Canis lupus familiaris: one gene and its partners. The protein of the gene in region 2 interacts with the protein of the main gene of each other region in a biochemical or structural test. Links are inferred from orthologs where the notes say so. Each region holds a gene or a part of one and is shown on either strand. Other genes may lie near its edges.

Evidence for each region.
Region 1: the proteins of RUFY1 (region 2) and RAB14 form a complex in vitro, tested with the Homo sapiens proteins (2 studies listed by BioGRID). The link is inferred for Canis lupus familiaris from reciprocal best matches to the Homo sapiens genes RUFY1 and RAB14.
Region 3: the proteins of RUFY1 (region 2) and RAB4A form a complex in vitro, tested with the Homo sapiens proteins (2 studies listed by BioGRID). The link is inferred for Canis lupus familiaris from reciprocal best matches to the Homo sapiens genes RUFY1 and RAB4A.

The regions. Positions count from the first base shown.
Region 1 is NC_049232.1:74,591,171-74,597,014, forward strand, and holds the start of RAB14 (ras-related protein Rab-14), read right to left. Parts: upstream 3,871-5,844; 5' UTR 3,786-3,870; intron 3,177-3,785; exon of another isoform or gene 2,884-3,176; intron 1-2,883.
Region 2 is NC_049232.1:2,389,189-2,394,879, reverse strand, and holds the start of RUFY1 (RUN and FYVE domain-containing protein 1), read left to right. Parts: upstream 1-2,134; 5' UTR 2,135-2,154; coding exon 2,155-2,440; intron 2,441-2,497; exon of another isoform or gene 2,498-2,829; intron 2,830-5,691. UniProt on the Homo sapiens protein: Activating adapter involved in cargo sorting from early/recycling endosomes. Regulates retrieval of proteins from endosomes to the trans-Golgi network through interaction with the dynein-dynactin complex.
Region 3 is NC_049225.1:10,361,322-10,367,071, forward strand, and holds the start of RAB4A (ras-related protein Rab-4A), read right to left. Parts: upstream 3,871-5,750; 5' UTR 3,852-3,870; coding exon 3,791-3,851; intron 1-3,790. UniProt on the Homo sapiens protein: The small GTPases Rab are key regulators of intracellular membrane trafficking, from the formation of transport vesicles to their fusion with membranes.

The DNA.
Region 1 (5,844 bases), about 72 Mb from region 2:
TAATATAATACTTCAGTCTTAAAAAATTATATTTAGAGGATATAATCAGGATTTGTAGATATGAATGATAACACTAATTCAAGTTATATCCACTTAAAGTTTCTGAAGGTAACAACATTTGTTTAGAGTAAACCGTGTGATGATCATCAGTACTTTTCCCTTCATATAATTCTTACTTAATTCTCACAACTCTGCAGTCATTATGTCCATGCAAAAACTGAAGAAATTGAAGTTTAGAGAAATTCATTAATTTGGCCTGTGTTACAAAAATAGTAAATGGCAGAGCTGGAATCTGAACCCAGGCCTGACTCCAAAGAACATGATTTTCTCTAAGGCGGGTTATTAAAAGCATATATGTATGTGGACTGATATACATACATATGTAAACTGATAAAACCAAAACAGGGCGCCTGGGTGGCTCAGCAGTTGAGCGTCTGCCTTCGGCTCAGGGCACGATCCCGGGGTCCTGGGATGGAGTCCCATATAGGGCTCCCCACTGACAGCCTGCTTGTCCCTCTGCCTGTGTCTCTGCCTCTTTCAGTGTGTCTCATGAACAAATAAAACTTAAAAAAAAAAAAAAAAAATCAAAGAAAAATGGAAGATAATTACACGAAATATTTAGGGTCAGGCCTTACTATCACTGCATGTAAAACTTAGCACTAAACTTCTTGTCAAGACTAATGATTACTACATGCATACCAAACACTGATGATTGTGGTGTAGTCCCTTTAAATATTAACTATGCCTAATACTCCTTTAACAACGGATTTTTTGAGATTAACATTAAATCTTCAACACAAGAAACACCCTTAAGGTAAGGAATATATTTTAAAATGGGGTATGCTACTGCATCAAACTGCATGTTTTTCACTTAACAAAATCATGGATCCATTTCCAGGCCAATACACAGAGATCTACATGGTTACTAAATACACATTAAAGACAAATCATTGTTGCCCCCAAAATAAAGTCGCATGGTCTCCATATAGTTAGATACATCTCCAAGTGAAATTAAACAGATATATAAATGACTGTATTTGAAATGTGCATGCAGACGAGAAGGTTAAGGACCTTTCATACACTCTGCTTACAAGAGTCTGAATTGCCACATTTTTTTGGGAAGTAAACAATATATTTTAAAATCTTAAAGATAATCCCAATCAACTGTGACCAAGAAGTAGCCTACAGATACAAGATCTTCAATCCATAAGGTTATAGGTCCAACTGCATCTAATGCAGTACTTATACAGCAAACAAAACAAAACCCAAAACCAAAAAAACTGGAAACAATCTATACTTCTATCAACAGGGAAATGACTAAAGTATCATGAAATAACATGCTTCTAGTTTAAAAACCATTCAGAGATGGATAATAAACTTAAAAATATATCCATGATTTTTAAGTGGAAAAAAAAAAGTTGATAGAATTTTATGCAGTGGCATATCCCATTTTTAAACACACACACATACACACACTCTCCCTCAAACCTGTATACAGATAATATGGAAGGATACACACCAAATTGTGAAAAATGAGTATGTGGACTGAGAAGAAAAAGGATAGGGAGAAATTATTAACTTTATATAACTCTATTAACAGTGTAAGCATGTGCTATATTCACTGGTGATATTCTAAAGTATTCAAAGTAGATAAAGAACTATTCTAATACAAAACAAACAAGAATCAACAAAAACAAGCAGCGCCTGGGTGGCCCATTCAGTTAAGTGGTCAACTCTGGACTTTGGCCCAGGTCATCATCTCAGGAGTCGGCTTGAAGATTTTCTCTCCCTCTGCCCCAGCCCCAGCCCCAGCCCTACTCACATGCCTTCAATCTCTCTAGAATAAATATTTTCCAAAAATAAAACAACTCCCATTCATAATAGTTCCAACATTACTTACACATTTACAATAATATGGGGAAATTCATAATAATATGGGGAAAGTCAATCATATGATCGGCCTCAAAAAACACACTCCGAAAATTGACAGCATTTTTTCTTTTTTAATACCTTGGCTTTTACTGTGTTCACTCAGGCACTACGTCTGACTAATCCTCTCACAACCATTAAACGGCTATTTTATTCTACTTCTTAGGACGAACGATGCTACGATGTAATTTTTACATAACTTATTCAAGACAACACAGGACAAAAACAACCCACAAAGATTCCAGGTGATTTACATTCTGATCCTCATTATTAACATTACTAAGCTTGGTTTGGGGTTTTGCTACACGTAAGACATCTCGTTATAGACACAGAACTGGACCGAGCGCCCAAAAGCACTGTGATCCCAACACGGAAATCCTTGTTGAGCATCTGCGAAGCACAGAGTCTGCGTGAGGCTTTGACAAGGCAGGAGCGACCAAGAGGAGCGTCGCGCCCGCCTCCCGGAGACTTAGCGGCGGTCGGACTCGCTAACAGGCTGTGCCGGGGACACAGTGTAGACCGGTGCTGTGCTCGGGGAATCCGAATGCGCGGTCTCAGCAGTAACGCAACCTCGGAGAAGAGCCCACCCATTCTGACCTCCACTTTAAAAAACTCACTCTTGGCAGGACAGTCAATGTCACATCTTTGCATCAACTAATACAAGAAAAAGAGCCGGGTTTCTACTGTGCCACGAGCAGGGCAGTTCTGCCGTCATGGCCGCAGCCTAGGAAGAAAGTGCTTGGGCGCCGCAGCCGTGCTTCAAGGGCAAGAACCAGCCAGGGGCCCGCACCTACTTTACTACAAGCACTAAGAGGGCCAGAAACGGCCAAAGTTTCACTGATGAAACGTGATGTCTGAAGGGAACGGTCCTCAAAGCAACGTGGCGGGGGGGGGGGGGGCGACCCCGACACTCCCGGGACCCCCCCGCACACGCTGGAAGCTACGCCCTCAAGTTCCGAGGCGCAGCCCGTCCGCGCGCAGGCGTGTCTCGGCCGCACCAGACGTCCCGGGCTCCGGCGTCCTGCCTGGGCCGAGGCCGCTCCCGCGGAGCCCTCTCCTACCGCGGTTACGTAAAGACGCTCGCGGCGGGACGGGCCCGGGCTGGGTCGTCAGAAGCAGAGACTTGAAAGACGTCGCTTGAGCCTCAAGAATCTGGGGCCGTTCGGCTTTAGAGGAGCCTCCCGCGGCCTCCCGCGACCGCCTTCCCTCCTCTGCAAGCAACGACTGACCTTACACCCGCCCTGCAGGTGAGGCGGCGAGGCCGGAGGGCGCGGGGGCTCGCGGCGGGGGGCGCCGGGGGCGGGGACGGGGACGCGGACCTCGCAGCCCCCAGCCCGGGCCCGACCGGGCCAAGCGGAGCCGGCGCAGTCGGCAGCCAGGGCCACCGGCGACGGGCTCCCTGCTCCGCCGTCTCCCCTCCAGTCCCAGAAACGCTCAAAACCCACAACTTTTTGTCGCCTTCACGGCGGGCCGACGCCACCCAAGCTCGGCGCCGTCCGGGCCGCCCCGGCCCTCAGCAGCCGCGGCCCTCAGCCTCCCCGGCCCTCAGGGCCCTCACCGCCCCGGCCCTCCGCCGCGGCCCCGCCGACAAGGACACCGAGCCCCGCCGCGCCGGCGAGGCCTCCAGCTGCCGCCTTTGTGCCCGGGCCCACGCGGGCCGGCGCCGGGGCCGGGGCTCCACGTCCGGGCTCGCGGGGGCGGCGGCGGCCGGCCGCACACGCCCTCGCCCGCGCCCTCGCCCGCGCCCCCGCCGCCCCCGCCCCCCGGCCGGCCCGCCCGCGGCGCCCCCGCCCCCGCCCCCCGCCCCCGCGCCAGGCGGCCGCGGCCCGACGGACGCTGCGGAAGGCCCGGCTCACCTGGGGGGTTGCTGGTGGCTGGGCAGCTTTCCGGGCGGGCGGGGGGCGTCAGGACGAGGAAGCGGGCGCGGCGGGCGGCGCGGGCGGGCGGGCGGGCGGGCGGGCGGCCGGGGCCCCGGGGGCGGCGGGCTGGCCGACGAGGTGCAGGCGCGCCGGCGGCAGCGGCGGGGGCGGCGGCGACGGCTCCGCGGCTCCCTCAGGATCTCCTCGGGCAGGTCCAAGATGGCGGCGCTCCCTGCACAGGGTTTCCTGTCACCCTCGCAATGGGCCGGACCACAAAAGAAGCGGGGGGAGGAGGCTGCGCGCGCAGCCGGCGGGGCCCGGAAGACGGCGGCCGGCCCGGCCTGCTGGCCACGCCCCTTCCCCGCCGCGGCCCTCGGGACTCGCCGCGCGGCCGCCGAGACCCGCCCCGCGGGCGGCGGCGCCTGGAGGGGCGGAGGGCGGCGCTTGTGCGCAGGCGCAGCGGCCGGCGCCCGCTTCCCAGGGGCGCTCCTGCGCAGGCGCGCGCGGCACCTGCTGGGGGCGGGCCGGGCCGGGGCGGGGCGGGCCGGGCTCGGCGCTCGGTGGACCCTGCGGCTCCCGGCGCCCCGGCCCCGGCCCCGGCCCCCGCCCCCCCGCCCCCGCCTGCCGGACACGCCCGCGCCGCGCGCCCCACGCCGGGCACAGTCTGCTGCGCCCGCCCGCAGCGGGGCCCGAGGGCACGCGTCCCCGTCCCGCAGCCGCAGGAGGCTCTTGGCCCCATTGTACCGATGGCGAAACTGAGGCTCGCGTCGATCGAGCCGGGGGCCCGGGATCCAGCAGCCGGAACGTGGCGCTTCCCGTTGTGGGTCGCCTCTGCCCTCCGAGGGGCCCTGGGACGCGGGGCCCGAGCACCCCAGCACCCCGGCGCCTCCGGCCTGCCACCCTCCCGGAAGGCCCTGCGCAGCCGGCGGCGGGCGGCCCTCGGGGGACCCCAACGCCCGCCTGTGCCTGCGGAGACGGTTACGGGGATCGCCTGTTCCTGTACTTCTGTGTTCCTATTGTTAGCGTTTTACAGCTACGTTGGCGTGGAGAGGGATGTTTTAATGTCACACCGCACGACACTTTCTTTAACCTGGAAATTCATCTTTCCTTCCTGACTTTCAAAGCACTGAAGACATTTCTGCGGGTCCCCACGAAAGCATCGTGGGCCCCAGGCTCGGTGCTTCCGGTGGCTCAGGTGACGGCCCTGCCTCAGTTTACCCAAAGGAAGCTCAGGCTCTCGGCAGGAGGAGCTTTCAGAAGCTGGCTTTGCCTCGGCGACGGGACACTTCCTTGGAAAACCGTATGGCAGTTCACACATGTCTCATTTTCAGAAAGACCCGGCTGCGAATCCCTGATCTTCCACTTACTGATGACCCACGGCTGGGCACGTCCCTTGATTTCCCAGATCCGCAGTCTTTTCTGCAAAATGAGGATGATGATACCTATCACCCGTGGGTCCTTGTGAGCGTTAAATGAGGTGATATACACAAAGCGCTTGACATACGCGTTTTTAATACGTGGGAATGGCTATTAGGTGATAATCCGATATAAGGTTATGTTGAAATCCCTTCTGGCCCTGGAGGTCTATGCTTCTATTCCTGTATTCTTTATTTTTATTTTTTTAAGATTTTATTTATTTATTTATTTATTTATTTATTTATTTATTTATTCATTCATTCATTCATGAGAGACACAGAGAGAGACACAGGCAGAGGCACAGGCAGAGGGAGAAGCAGGCTCCATGCAGGGAGCCCGACGTGGGACTCCATCCCGGGTCTCCAGGATCACGCCCTGGGCTGAAGGCGGCACTGAACCGCTGGGCCACCAGAGCTGCCCTTCCTGTATTCTTTAATTCCAATAAGCATACTTTGTGCTCATGATTCAACATCTCTGAAATCAAGAAATTTGCAAAGGAAAGAAGGAAGCTGTGAACCATTTGGCATCACTTGTCCAGCTGTGAGCTTAGGTCTGGCCAGAACGTTTCACTATATCCACTTGTCCCCTTGGGTTGAAGACCTTCGTGACTAGCTAATGCTTCTTGCACACTCAGTGTGAA
Region 2 (5,691 bases):
ACTGAAGATTATAAAATGCCAACAAAAGTGTAAACATCTACATGTGAGATACAGGGGCTTTCAGCTGATGGGCCAACTCATCATACCAATGAAGCCACGAGGTTCCATGTCTTTGGATACCACTTTGGAACAGGCAAGTCACTGAACCCACTCTGCCGTGCCGCCTAATTCAATCCAAAGTCCACATCAAGGAGAAAATGAGCCGCCTGCAACCACAGCATGCAAACACGAAGCCTCTTGCAATGGGAAGCAGTGAGAGAAAGCTATAAGCAGGGGGCTGAAAGGATCAGGCCTAAGTCTGGGGAACAGAGGAACAATCTCGCCTAGAACAGAGTAAAGCCCCAAGATGTAAGATGTCCTGGAGAGTGTCTGCAAAGCGAGGTGAGAGTCCACGCAGGCAGGGGCACTGGGAAAAGAAGGGCAGGGCCAGATGTGAGTGACAGATGGAGTCTGAGAAATGTAGTGAGAAACCTTCAGACAATTAGAAAGAAAAATGAGGCAGAGGGTAGACTCACACTCAGAAGGAGGCAGCAGGCAGCTGAAATTCAAGGCATAGAAAAACAGGTCTGGAGAAGATTGAAGAAAGGACCAGGAGGATGTGGAGAAAACATGGGGAGGGGGGATTGAGCTACATATTTGGAGATAGGGCCTTTCTAATTAGTATGGGACATTTCAAGCATATGAAAAATCATAGAAAATAACAAACCTGTACAGTTTTTAAAATTTTACTATTTGTACCTAAAATAATCATATACATCCTCTTCACCAAGTGGGCTCCAAACCACAGGTTCCTCTTACCAAATTTTCTCCAAAGTTGGCCTCATATATAGTAAAATTACAAAGAATTTTAAACTACTGTGTGTTGCTAGGCTTGAAATAGTTACATGCAAATTCAGTTACCTTCGCTATGGGGCCCATCATAACCTTTCGATAATACATTTTTTAAAAAGATTTTATTTATTTATTTATTTATTCATGAGAGACACAGAAAGAGAGAGTCAGAGACACAGGCAGAGAGAGAAGCAGGCTCCCGGCAAGGAGCCTGTTGTGGGACTCGATCCCAGGACCCGGGGATCATGACCTTAGCAGGAGGCAGACACTCAACCACTGAGTCACCCAGGCATTCCCGATAATACTTTTTTTTTTTTAAAGATTTTATTTATTTATTCATGAGAGACACAGAAAGAGCAGAGACACAGGCAGAGGGAGAAGCAGGCTCCATGCAGGGAGCCCAATGTGGGACTCGATCCCGGGTCTCCAGGATCACGCCCCGCGCCAAAGGCAGGCGCTAAAGTGCTGAGCCACCCAGGGATCCCCCAAGATAATACATGCCTTATAATGCCCACTGACTATTCTAAAATGCAATTCATAGATAATAAGCTTGCCAACACTCAAAATTCCAAAAAAATTAACATAAAGTCCTATTATATAAAGGAGAAATCAATTATAAAGTGTATTTCAATATATAAATAAGGCACAATCACTGCTAAAAGAAATAAGGCAACCAGGCACTTGTACCTAAAATCCCTGATGGTGACAGTACGGGTATTGCCTTTTTTTTTTTTTAGATTTTATTCATTCAAGAGAGACACAGAGGGAGACAGAGACACAGGCAGAGGGAGAAGCAGGCGCCTCACAGGGAGCCCGATGCGGGACCCGATCCTAGGACCCTGGGGTCACGCCCTGAGCCAGACAGACGCTCAACCGCTAGGCCGCCCAGGCGTCCCTATGTAGGATTTTTTAATTAAAAAAAAAAAATCTTGATTTTCTACCTCGCCTAGAGCTTGTTCTGAAGAGTGCTGCAGAAAAGTGTCGAAATAGAAAAAGTAAGTCATGAAACGAAAATCAGAAAGAGGAAACAGAGCCAGGATGACACCAAAGCCCTCGGGCTGTGTTCCGAGCCAGGGGAGGGGGCAGGACCCAAGTCCTCTCAACTGCCAGGAATATGGGTGCTGCTTTTTAGGTTATGATTTGTACTTTCCTGAACTTTTTTAAGGTTAAAGGAAGGAGAGAAGGAGGGTGATGAAGAGGAAGGAGAACTTCGCGAAGATGGAAAAAAAAAAATCCCTGCCCGCCCGGACGGAGACCGCCGCCCCCCCGCGCGCCCGCCCGCGCCCAGTCCTCCGCCCGCCGGGGCCACGTGACGCGGCCAAGATGGCCGAAGGGGAAGACGGCTCCCTGGCGGGGCGGGAACCGAGGCCGGAACCCGGAGAAGAGTTCGAGATCGTGGACCGCAGCCAGCTGCCTAGCCCCGGCGAACTGCGGAGCGCGGCGAAGCCTCAGGCGGGGTCGGAGGGCTGGTCGGCGCCCATCCTGACCCTGGCGCGGAAGGCCACGGGCAACCTGTCGGCGAGCTGCGGCGTCGCGCTGCGTGCGGCCGCAGCGCTGGGCGGCGCGGACGGCGGCGGGGACGGCGGCGCCGCCAGCGGAGCGCGCGCAGGTAGGCCGGGGCGGGGCGGCGGGGGTCGAGGGGCGGGGGGCCGCGCGCGCCCGCTGAGCGGGTGGGGAGCCGGGCTGGCGAGGGCGTCGAGGCTCCGAAGCCTGTCAGACGAGTTCTGCAGAACCAACCTGCTACACGTGTGCTTTACGCTGTGCGAGCCGAGCCAAGAGAGGTCAAGAGAGGTTTGGGTGCCCGGAGATCCGGCGGCCCCGCTACCGCACCAGGCAACATCCTGACCCTCGGTGCTGGATAAGAAAATGCACGAGTTAAAGCTTACGTTGTCTGTATTCATTTTTTAAAAACTGAGGAGCTGAGTCTCCAGTTCCGCTCTGGGCGGTGAACCTCGAGATGCGCGCTCCGACGTGGAAGTCAGGAGGCGGTGGTTCCAGGTGAGCCGTGCAGCCAGCTAGCAGTCTGATGCCCAGACTGTGCAATGGGGACTTTTGGGTTCCCCGGGGAGCTCTTCTCCTTTTCAGCCCTTGTTATCGGGGATAGACTTTCAGCATGTTAGAAGAATGGAAATAATGGAAATACTAAATGATGATTTTGAGTGTGAACTGGAAAGCCTTTTAAAAGCCAGATATGAAGAGCTGTGCTCACCCACAGAATAGCCACACGTAAGCAATGCTTAAATGTTAAATTAAGGGACGCCTGGGTGGCTCAGGGTTGGGCATCTGCCTTCGGATCAGGGCGTGATCCCGGGGTCCTGGGATCGAGTCCCACATAGGGCTGCCCCCACAGGGAGCCTGCTCCTCCCTCTGCCTGTGTCTCTGCCTCACTCTGTGTCTCATGAATAAATAAAATCTTTTTTAAAACATTAAATGGAAATTAAAATTTCAGTTCCGTCTTCATAGAAAGTGCTGTGGGGCAGAGTTGAAGAAAGTCGGGTGTTATATGTTGGCAAATCGAATTTAAAATTGAAATAAATAAAAATAAAAGTAAAAAAGAAACCACTGAGGAGGGCACTTGATGGGATGAGCGCTGGGTTTTATACTATATATTGGCAAATTGAATTTAAATAAAATTTAAAATAAATAGAGGGAAGTCGGTAGTGCTAAGAATCATAATGTGCCATCGAGGTTTCTTGATTCCCTCCTCCCCACGGGTAAATTTGCTGTTTAGAAGTCATCACTGAAAAAAAAAAAAAAAAAAAAAAAAAAAAAAAAAAATAGAAGTCATCACTGAACCAGCATAGTGAATCCTGAGAATTTCAGTGGTTGGGAAAGTAATGAGTAGAGGAAAGTTTACAAACGGACTTGTTTTGAGATTCTGGCAGTGGCAAAGAGGTGCAGAAGGTAATGAAGGCGGCTGTTCACACAGGAATCTAGTTCCCACTGCCTTTGCACACACCTGTGGGTGTTTGATTGTGAACCAGCCATTGCCTCCAGTGGTTTTCAGTGATTTCCAAAAGTCAAGGCATGAGGCGTTCTGGAGGCTTCTGAGATCATGGAGCAAAAGCAAATAATAAATGTTAGTCATCCACTGATATATGACATGTGCCAGTACCTAGAATAGCACCTGGCACAGTATAATAATAAATATCAGTTGAACACATGTATTTGGAAAATACTTGATTTCAATTTATAGTGGCGCTAAAAGTAGCAGCCAACATTTGTATCATTTGTTTCATGCTTACTAGGTGCCAGGTATTATTAGTCTTAGATCTGTACCTACGTTATATTCCTTTAACCCTCAAAATAACCTCAGGTGATAGCAGGACTGACTTCTGGGTGCGCATCAATGCATGGTTTGGCCAATGTGATCACCCAGGTACTGGGTGAGGTGCCCTACACTTTAAATTCTTATTATCTTCAAATGTGTGTTTTGTAAGTGAAACCTACTGGGACAGAGGAGCCCTGAGGGGCCTTGGAGCCAGCTGGTGTATGGTCCCACCTTCCACAGACCGGGAGGGGTACCTGCTGCAGCTGCCCTGGGGCTTCTGCCTGCCCACCCTAGCCCCTGCTCCATGGCCACTGCTAGCCCAGGGAGGGTTGGGGTTGTGCCCTCTGAATCTCAGGGCTTGGCTGGGTGGCCCCTTGCCAACCCAACCAGATACAGACTTCATCTCTGCAGGAAGTGGCAATCCCCTAGGGCCTTTAAAAGGGGAGAGGGAACTTCCATACCTCCACCCACGGAGCCAGCCTATGTGCCAGCCCATGTGCTTAGCCCCATTTTATAAAGAGGGAAACCAATTTTTTTAAAGATTTTTTTTTTTAATTTACTCATAGACACAGAGAGAGAGAGGCAGAGACACAGACAGAGGGAAAAGCAGGCTCCATGCAGGGAGCCTGATGTGGGACTCGATCCCGGGCCTCCGCTGCACCACCGGGGCTGCCCAGAAACCAAATTAAAGAGAAGTAATTTGACCAAGTTACTTCAAAGTAGCAGAGCCAGGGCTTGAGCCAGGCTGTTTCTCGAGCCTGTGCTTAATCATGACATTCAGTGCCTCAATGCCTATATAAGCAGAATGCCATATACCATAGGGATTATTTTAAATGTAAGGATAACATTAAAGGAATAACTACCCTCGGATTTGGCACAAATGGTGAATGAACATGGCTTACCCAGGGTGGCAGTGTGGGGAACTGCTGGGCTGTGTGGCCAGTGCAGAGGTAACTAGAATTTGAAGCCATCAAGTAGTATAGGAATAGGGATGGGGGGCAGCAGGCTCTGAAGGAGGCTTCAGAAAAGCAGGTCAGGAGAAAACAGTGGCCACCACTTCAGCCACGGCCAGGCCAGGGCCAGCTCATTCATCTCTTTTCCACTGATCCACATACACAAGCAGTGAGGACAGAGATTTTTCAGAAGAGCAGTGAAGGAGCAGAGATTAAATGTGAGCAGCGCTCTTGCCAGATAAAAATCCATTGGTGATGGAGGTTAAAGGAAACTGATGTGGATTAGTGTAGAACGCTTTGAATAGTTATTTTATTTTTTTAAAAAAGATTTTATTTATTTATTCATAGAGACACAGAGAGAGAGAGGCAGAGACACAGGCAGAGGGAGAAGCAGGCTCCATGCAGAGAGCCCAACGTGGGACTCGATCCAGGGTCCCCAGGATCACACCCTGGGCTGCAGGCGGCGCTAAACCGCTGCACCACCGGGGCTGCCCTGAATAGTTGTTTTAAAACGTTATCCCCCATGGGCCCTGTTAGCGCAGCGTGCCACTGTGATCCTGTACTCCGTGGTTGACAAAAAGAAATCACACCATACAAAATATCAGTGTAGAGTATGTCCTCCTGCACAGAAACTGT
Region 3 (5,750 bases), on a different chromosome or scaffold from region 2:
AATAGATATGTAAAGTCCCTAGGTGTCTGGCTGGCTCAGTCAGTAAAGCATGTGACTCCTGATCTCAGGGTTGTGGGTTCAAGGCCCACACCGGGTGTAGAGAGTTAAAAATAAAACTTAAAATAAAATATGCAAAGTCCCCACAGGCAGGGCAAAGATGTAGTACTCATTTTATGAGGACTCCTATAATAATAATCAGAAGCTAATGAACAAGAAAAATGGTATTAAAACTAAGGGAGCACACTACATATAATATTTTAAATTATAACACAAGAGAGAAAAATACTTTGTTTTTAAGTTCCCAATTTTTTCTGCATGATTAAAATTTCATATTTGAAAAATTACAAACCTCTACAATACATCCACTCATTCATAATTTATTAGCATTTTATGAATAGTGTACCCTAGCTCCATATCTAAATATTGTTAGCTGCTTTGAAGACTAAAATGCAAAAGACACAGCACATAAGAGAAACAGAAACAAAAGACTGATGTAACTAAGTATTGCCATACAAGAGTTTACCATTCTGAGTAGCATAGGGCAGAGCCACAAAGCATTCTTTCTCCAGGTATCACAGCCATCATTATGGGATTCATTTCTGTTGGTCAAATCTCTTCAATATAAACTTATTTTGGTTTGGAAAGCTTTGAGGGGGATTACAAAGGAAGAAAATCTGTAGCTATACAGTGCTTATTTCATTTATGTGTTATAGTGCCATTCATTACACTTGTCTTACTTTATCCATACCTTACATGTCATTTTAGCTTTTAAATCATACAGCTACAGAGAAGCAAAAAAAAAATGTATTTTTCAAACATATAGAGCGTAGTCCTTTATCAAGATGAGACTGATAGAGAAGCAGGGACAGAGACAAGCATTACAGAACACAGAGGATTCAAAGGTTTTCCCTCAAACTAGTTTCACTGGCATGTATCCTAATGGGGTTTTCAGGAATGGGGGAAAAAAAAATCCATGACAGCAGTCTAACCAATCTCTAGGGGATGGTTTATGAGAAGAAATTCAAGAAATATCAGCTTTCTTCTTATTCCAAAGAAATATTCAGAGCAAAGAACATCAACACACTAGCTTGCTTATATACAGGTACAAGTGACCACTATAGTATTGAACCTTACAAAAGAATTCTATAATAGCTAGTTCATACAAAGGGCCCAAAGTGCAAGTTACTTTTCAAAAAACATTGGCGATATGGTCCTTAACAAAGGAGACCTTACCATTATTATTATTATTAGAAGTAAAGTGCACATTTATGCTGACACATAATCATCTTTCAAGGAGCACAACCATTTACTTAAATCATTATGATATTCCTATGAAGCTGTGGCACATGTTACCAATAGTCTGGGTCCCCAAATAAATTTGACCAAGACCCCTTCCAACACACCCCTACCAGAAACCACCAAGTCCATCCTTGCCCAGTGAGTTCATGCCAACTATTGATGCTGCTTAAGCAGTTACATGGCTGCCATGCCACGAGTGGTAGCAACTAGCATCGCTGCTCAAGTCACTGTGATGAAGAACCTTGGGATGATGGTTTTTTTTTCCTTATAATCCACTAATCTGACCCCAACGTCATCTTCCCTTGTCTCTTCTAGGGTAAATGGTAGCTTGAACTATGTTAAGGGGTCAGTTTAAAAAGACAGAAACCAACTGGACTCAGGAGACAGGATGATGAAGAATTAAAACTGGACTAACTTTCTCCTTAGGCAAATGGATACATCAGACAAATAGAAGGTTGGGGAGTAGTAGGTAATCAGTTGGGTCTGGGACACATTGTGTTAGGATACCCCAGGCCATCCAAATGGAATAGTTAGGTACAGAGTTTAATATAAGATATTAAACCTGAGTGAATGTGACTGGAAATAAAGGTTTAGGAGTGAGACATTCATAGGTAAGGACTGAAATGCTTTATAGTTTAAATGACCATGAAAAATTATCACAAACTTTTACTTTTCTAAAGAACAATGTTTTCAAAAGTCTATGGTATTGGAGCCATTGTACAGTATAGGGCCCTGAACCAACAAACAGTACCTGTCTGGCCTGGGAGCTGATCAGGTGTGGAACCTCCATCCATTCCACATCTACTGTATCAGAACCCACACCTTCACACACCAGGGGGCTCAGAGGCCCATCAGTTCCAGACCCATTGGTGTAGTGTTCCCCAAACTCTGGTTCTTAAAATGTTCACCAATTTTCAGCAAATGAGAAAAAGAAAAATACAAACATTAAACATAATAAATGTATTCAATTTATAGAAATGTCCTTTATCCTGATGTTATATGCTTCCTTCATTAACCTTGTTTACATGCCCTGTCTTTTACTAAAATTTTTTTAAAGATTTTATTTGAGAGAGCACTACAAAATTTTTTTTAAAGATTTTATTTGAGAAAGAGAGCACACAGACAGAAAGCATACACACACACACACACACACACACACACAGAAAGAAGCAAATTCCCTGATGAGGAGGGAGCCCAATGTGGGGCTTGATCCCAGGACCCTGGGATCATGACCCAGGCCAAAAGCAGACGCTTAACCAACTGAGCCACCCAGATGCCCCTCTTTCAAGAAATTAACAAGGTAACGGTTATCTTGGTGATTTCTCTAACAGTAAGTTATTTTATACTTTATTGGTACCACATAACTTTAGAGATGTTATTTCCTTTGCCTGAAATAACCTCCTAACTCTACCTCTCCTAATAAGCCCCAATTTCTCTATGAATCGTATTCTAACTACCAAAGCCTATGTATTAGTTTTTTGGGGCTGCCATAACAAAATACCACAGACTGGATGGTATAAAAGTAGAGAAATTTATTGTCTAACAGTTCTAGAGGCTAAAAGTCCAAAATCAGAGGTCAGTAGGGCCATGCTTTCCCAGAGGCTCCAGGAAAGGATCCTTCCTTGCCTCTTTCTAGCTTCTGGTGGTTGCCGGAGATTCTTGGTGATTCTTGGCTTGTAGATACATCACTCCAATCTCAGCCTGCATCTTTGTATCCCATTCTCTCTGCATTATCTATGCAGATTTCTCTCATTTTATAAGAATATCAGTCACTGGATTAGGGCTTACCCTTATCCAATAGGACCTGTCTTGACCTGATTACATTACGTCTATTTCCAAATAAGGTCACATTCACAGGTCCTTGGGGTTAGGACCTAAATATGCCTTTTGGGAGATACAATTCAACCAACAACAGTCTATAATGATATATTTTTAAAAGAAGATATCTTGATAATTCTCCAAATTAGGTGGTAAATATTTTAATACTGTGCTTTCAAAGTAAGGCACAAGGGCAGCCCGGGTGGCTCAGCGGTTTAGCGCCACCTTCAGCCCGGGGCATGGTCCTGGAGACCTGGGATCGAGTCCCACGTCAGGCTCCCTGCATGGAGCCTGCTTCTCCCTCTGCCTGTGTCTCTGCCTCTCTCTCTCTCTCTCTCTCTCATGAATAAATAAAATCTTAAAAAAACAAAAACAAAGTAAGGCACAAAATAAAAATAGTAAGACTATATTGTAATAAAAATCAGCATAAGACTAAGAATTTGTAATGTTTCTGTTTCACAAACTGTATTTACTATAGAAACCATGAACTCCAAAGTGTAGAGATTTATCTTAGATGTTTCCTCAGTGGTAGACTGCTTTACTCCTTATTATTTTTTTTCTGGCATTTCAGGCACCACTTACTTTTTAGCTCCTTTCTGATCATTACTGCTTGGTACTACCTATTCAGTTTGTTAATTCTGTCTCACAAGTCTTGGTGTTAGGCATTACTTACAGCCGATTTCTGACTTCCCAAGTCTTGGATGGTTGGAGTTCCTCAGGAAGTTATAAGCCATACTAACTGGTCAAGGCTTTAAGAATGCTGTAAATCTAACAATATTTAGGAAACACTGTTTCAGTTTAGAGATATTAAAATCCAGGGTTTCAATCTGAAACCTGTTTAAAATTTCAACTTTGTATTACAATGTTATATACAGTATTCAATATTATATACAGTATGTGGTATATTACATGCACAGTATATATTATATACAGTATGTGGTATTGGTTTCAGGGCAGCAAAATGTTAAAAACTACTCAGTCTCTGGAAGGTGAAACATTGCCTTAATATGCTAAAAAGCAGGTAGATGTAGCTAATTAGTGGTACTCTGTGTAAGCACTGGCTCTTTATTTTTCATCCTATCCCTGTCAAGCTACACAGAGACTTCTTTTCTGGAGGAGAAAAATGAGCGTAGAGCATGAAGGAGTTTAAAGGTTAGGCACACATTCCTTTACTAGCTATCAAAGAGGCAAATGTCTGGAAGCCGGAACCTGATTGTTTTACTTTTGGGGAACAATGCTATGCAAATACAGTCAATGATAAATGAAGGTGACAGTTTAGGACTTTTGGTTGATTCTTGTTTTAGGTTCACAATTTCAACTGCTACTTTTGCTGTTTCAAAAACGAATTTTCTATTCCATTAGTTTTCTCTAATTGCCTCTACTAGAGAAAAGATGAGATTGTGAGTAAAAACAGCAAAAACATATTTGGGAAGTATCATGACATTAGAATACTATTGGTGAAAGCCTTTTGATCATCATTTAATCAGTTAATCTGTGATGCTCAAAAGTTCAATTAACTGTGTCTAAAGTGAAGCAGAGATATGCAGTATTTTATCAAGGCTATTTCATACTAGACAAATGAAAACTCAAGTCCTTCCTTACTAACTCATTATCCCCATTTGGTTTTATTTTGACTTTTCACCCCTATCTAATGCTACTTATCCAGGTTCAAGAAATAAAGCGTACGGGGTAAGGAGCACTTGAAAATAAAGAAAAGCAAAAGTACAGCCAAAAAATTGCTAGAGAAATGTATTTTCTTCACAAAATCTCCGTGGTTATCTAAAGGGAGAAGCAGACCACGTGGATGCACAGGACCATTTGCAGCTCTGACAACACTTAAAGCACCATGGACTTCCTGGAGGATTTCCCAAGCCTTCTAGGAATAGATGTAATGCCCCAAGTAGCCCCAAGAATGGGGCAAACACAAGTCATAGGAGGGGCTGAAGGTGAAGCAAATGTGCTGTGACCTCATACCTCTGAGGAGAAAGGTGGAAACCTGCCAAAGGCCCTCTCCACCACACCCTCACCCCTGCTCCACTGTTTAGGCTCCCCTTGTTGGAACTCCACCTCTCTCCCATCCAGGCCTGGGCATCTGCTGTTCTGCTATGCTGACCAGCTACTAACTACCTCCTGGGTTCCCCAGTCTGAGCCAGGTTTCCTTCCAACATACTTTCCTAGAGCACACTCCTTCAGAACTCCAGCCTGGAGCTTTAACTACTCATTCTGTAGTACCACGATGGCATTAGCTCTGTATCCTCCACTAGACTGCATGCTCCATGAGACCAGAACCACGCCTGTTGTGTCGCCTGCAGCACTGACAGCGCCTCCCAGCACCCTGCCTGCTCCATCAGGCCCTTCCACCTATGTTGCCAGAGCAGCAGGCCAGCACAAGTGATCTAAGTTCAGGTACATACTTTTGAACTTGAACCTCTCCCTGGGATTGTAAAACTCCCAATCTAAGGGTTAATCTGAGAATGCACACATCTGAACAAGTGATTAGTGACTGGTAAACATCTCAAGCCTGGCAAAGTAGACATGTACGATATTATTTATTTTTTTACCTCGCAGGGCTAAAACACCACAAACCCAAAAACAGTCTATGAATTGGAAAGGCTTTCGATTACTCGAAAAAT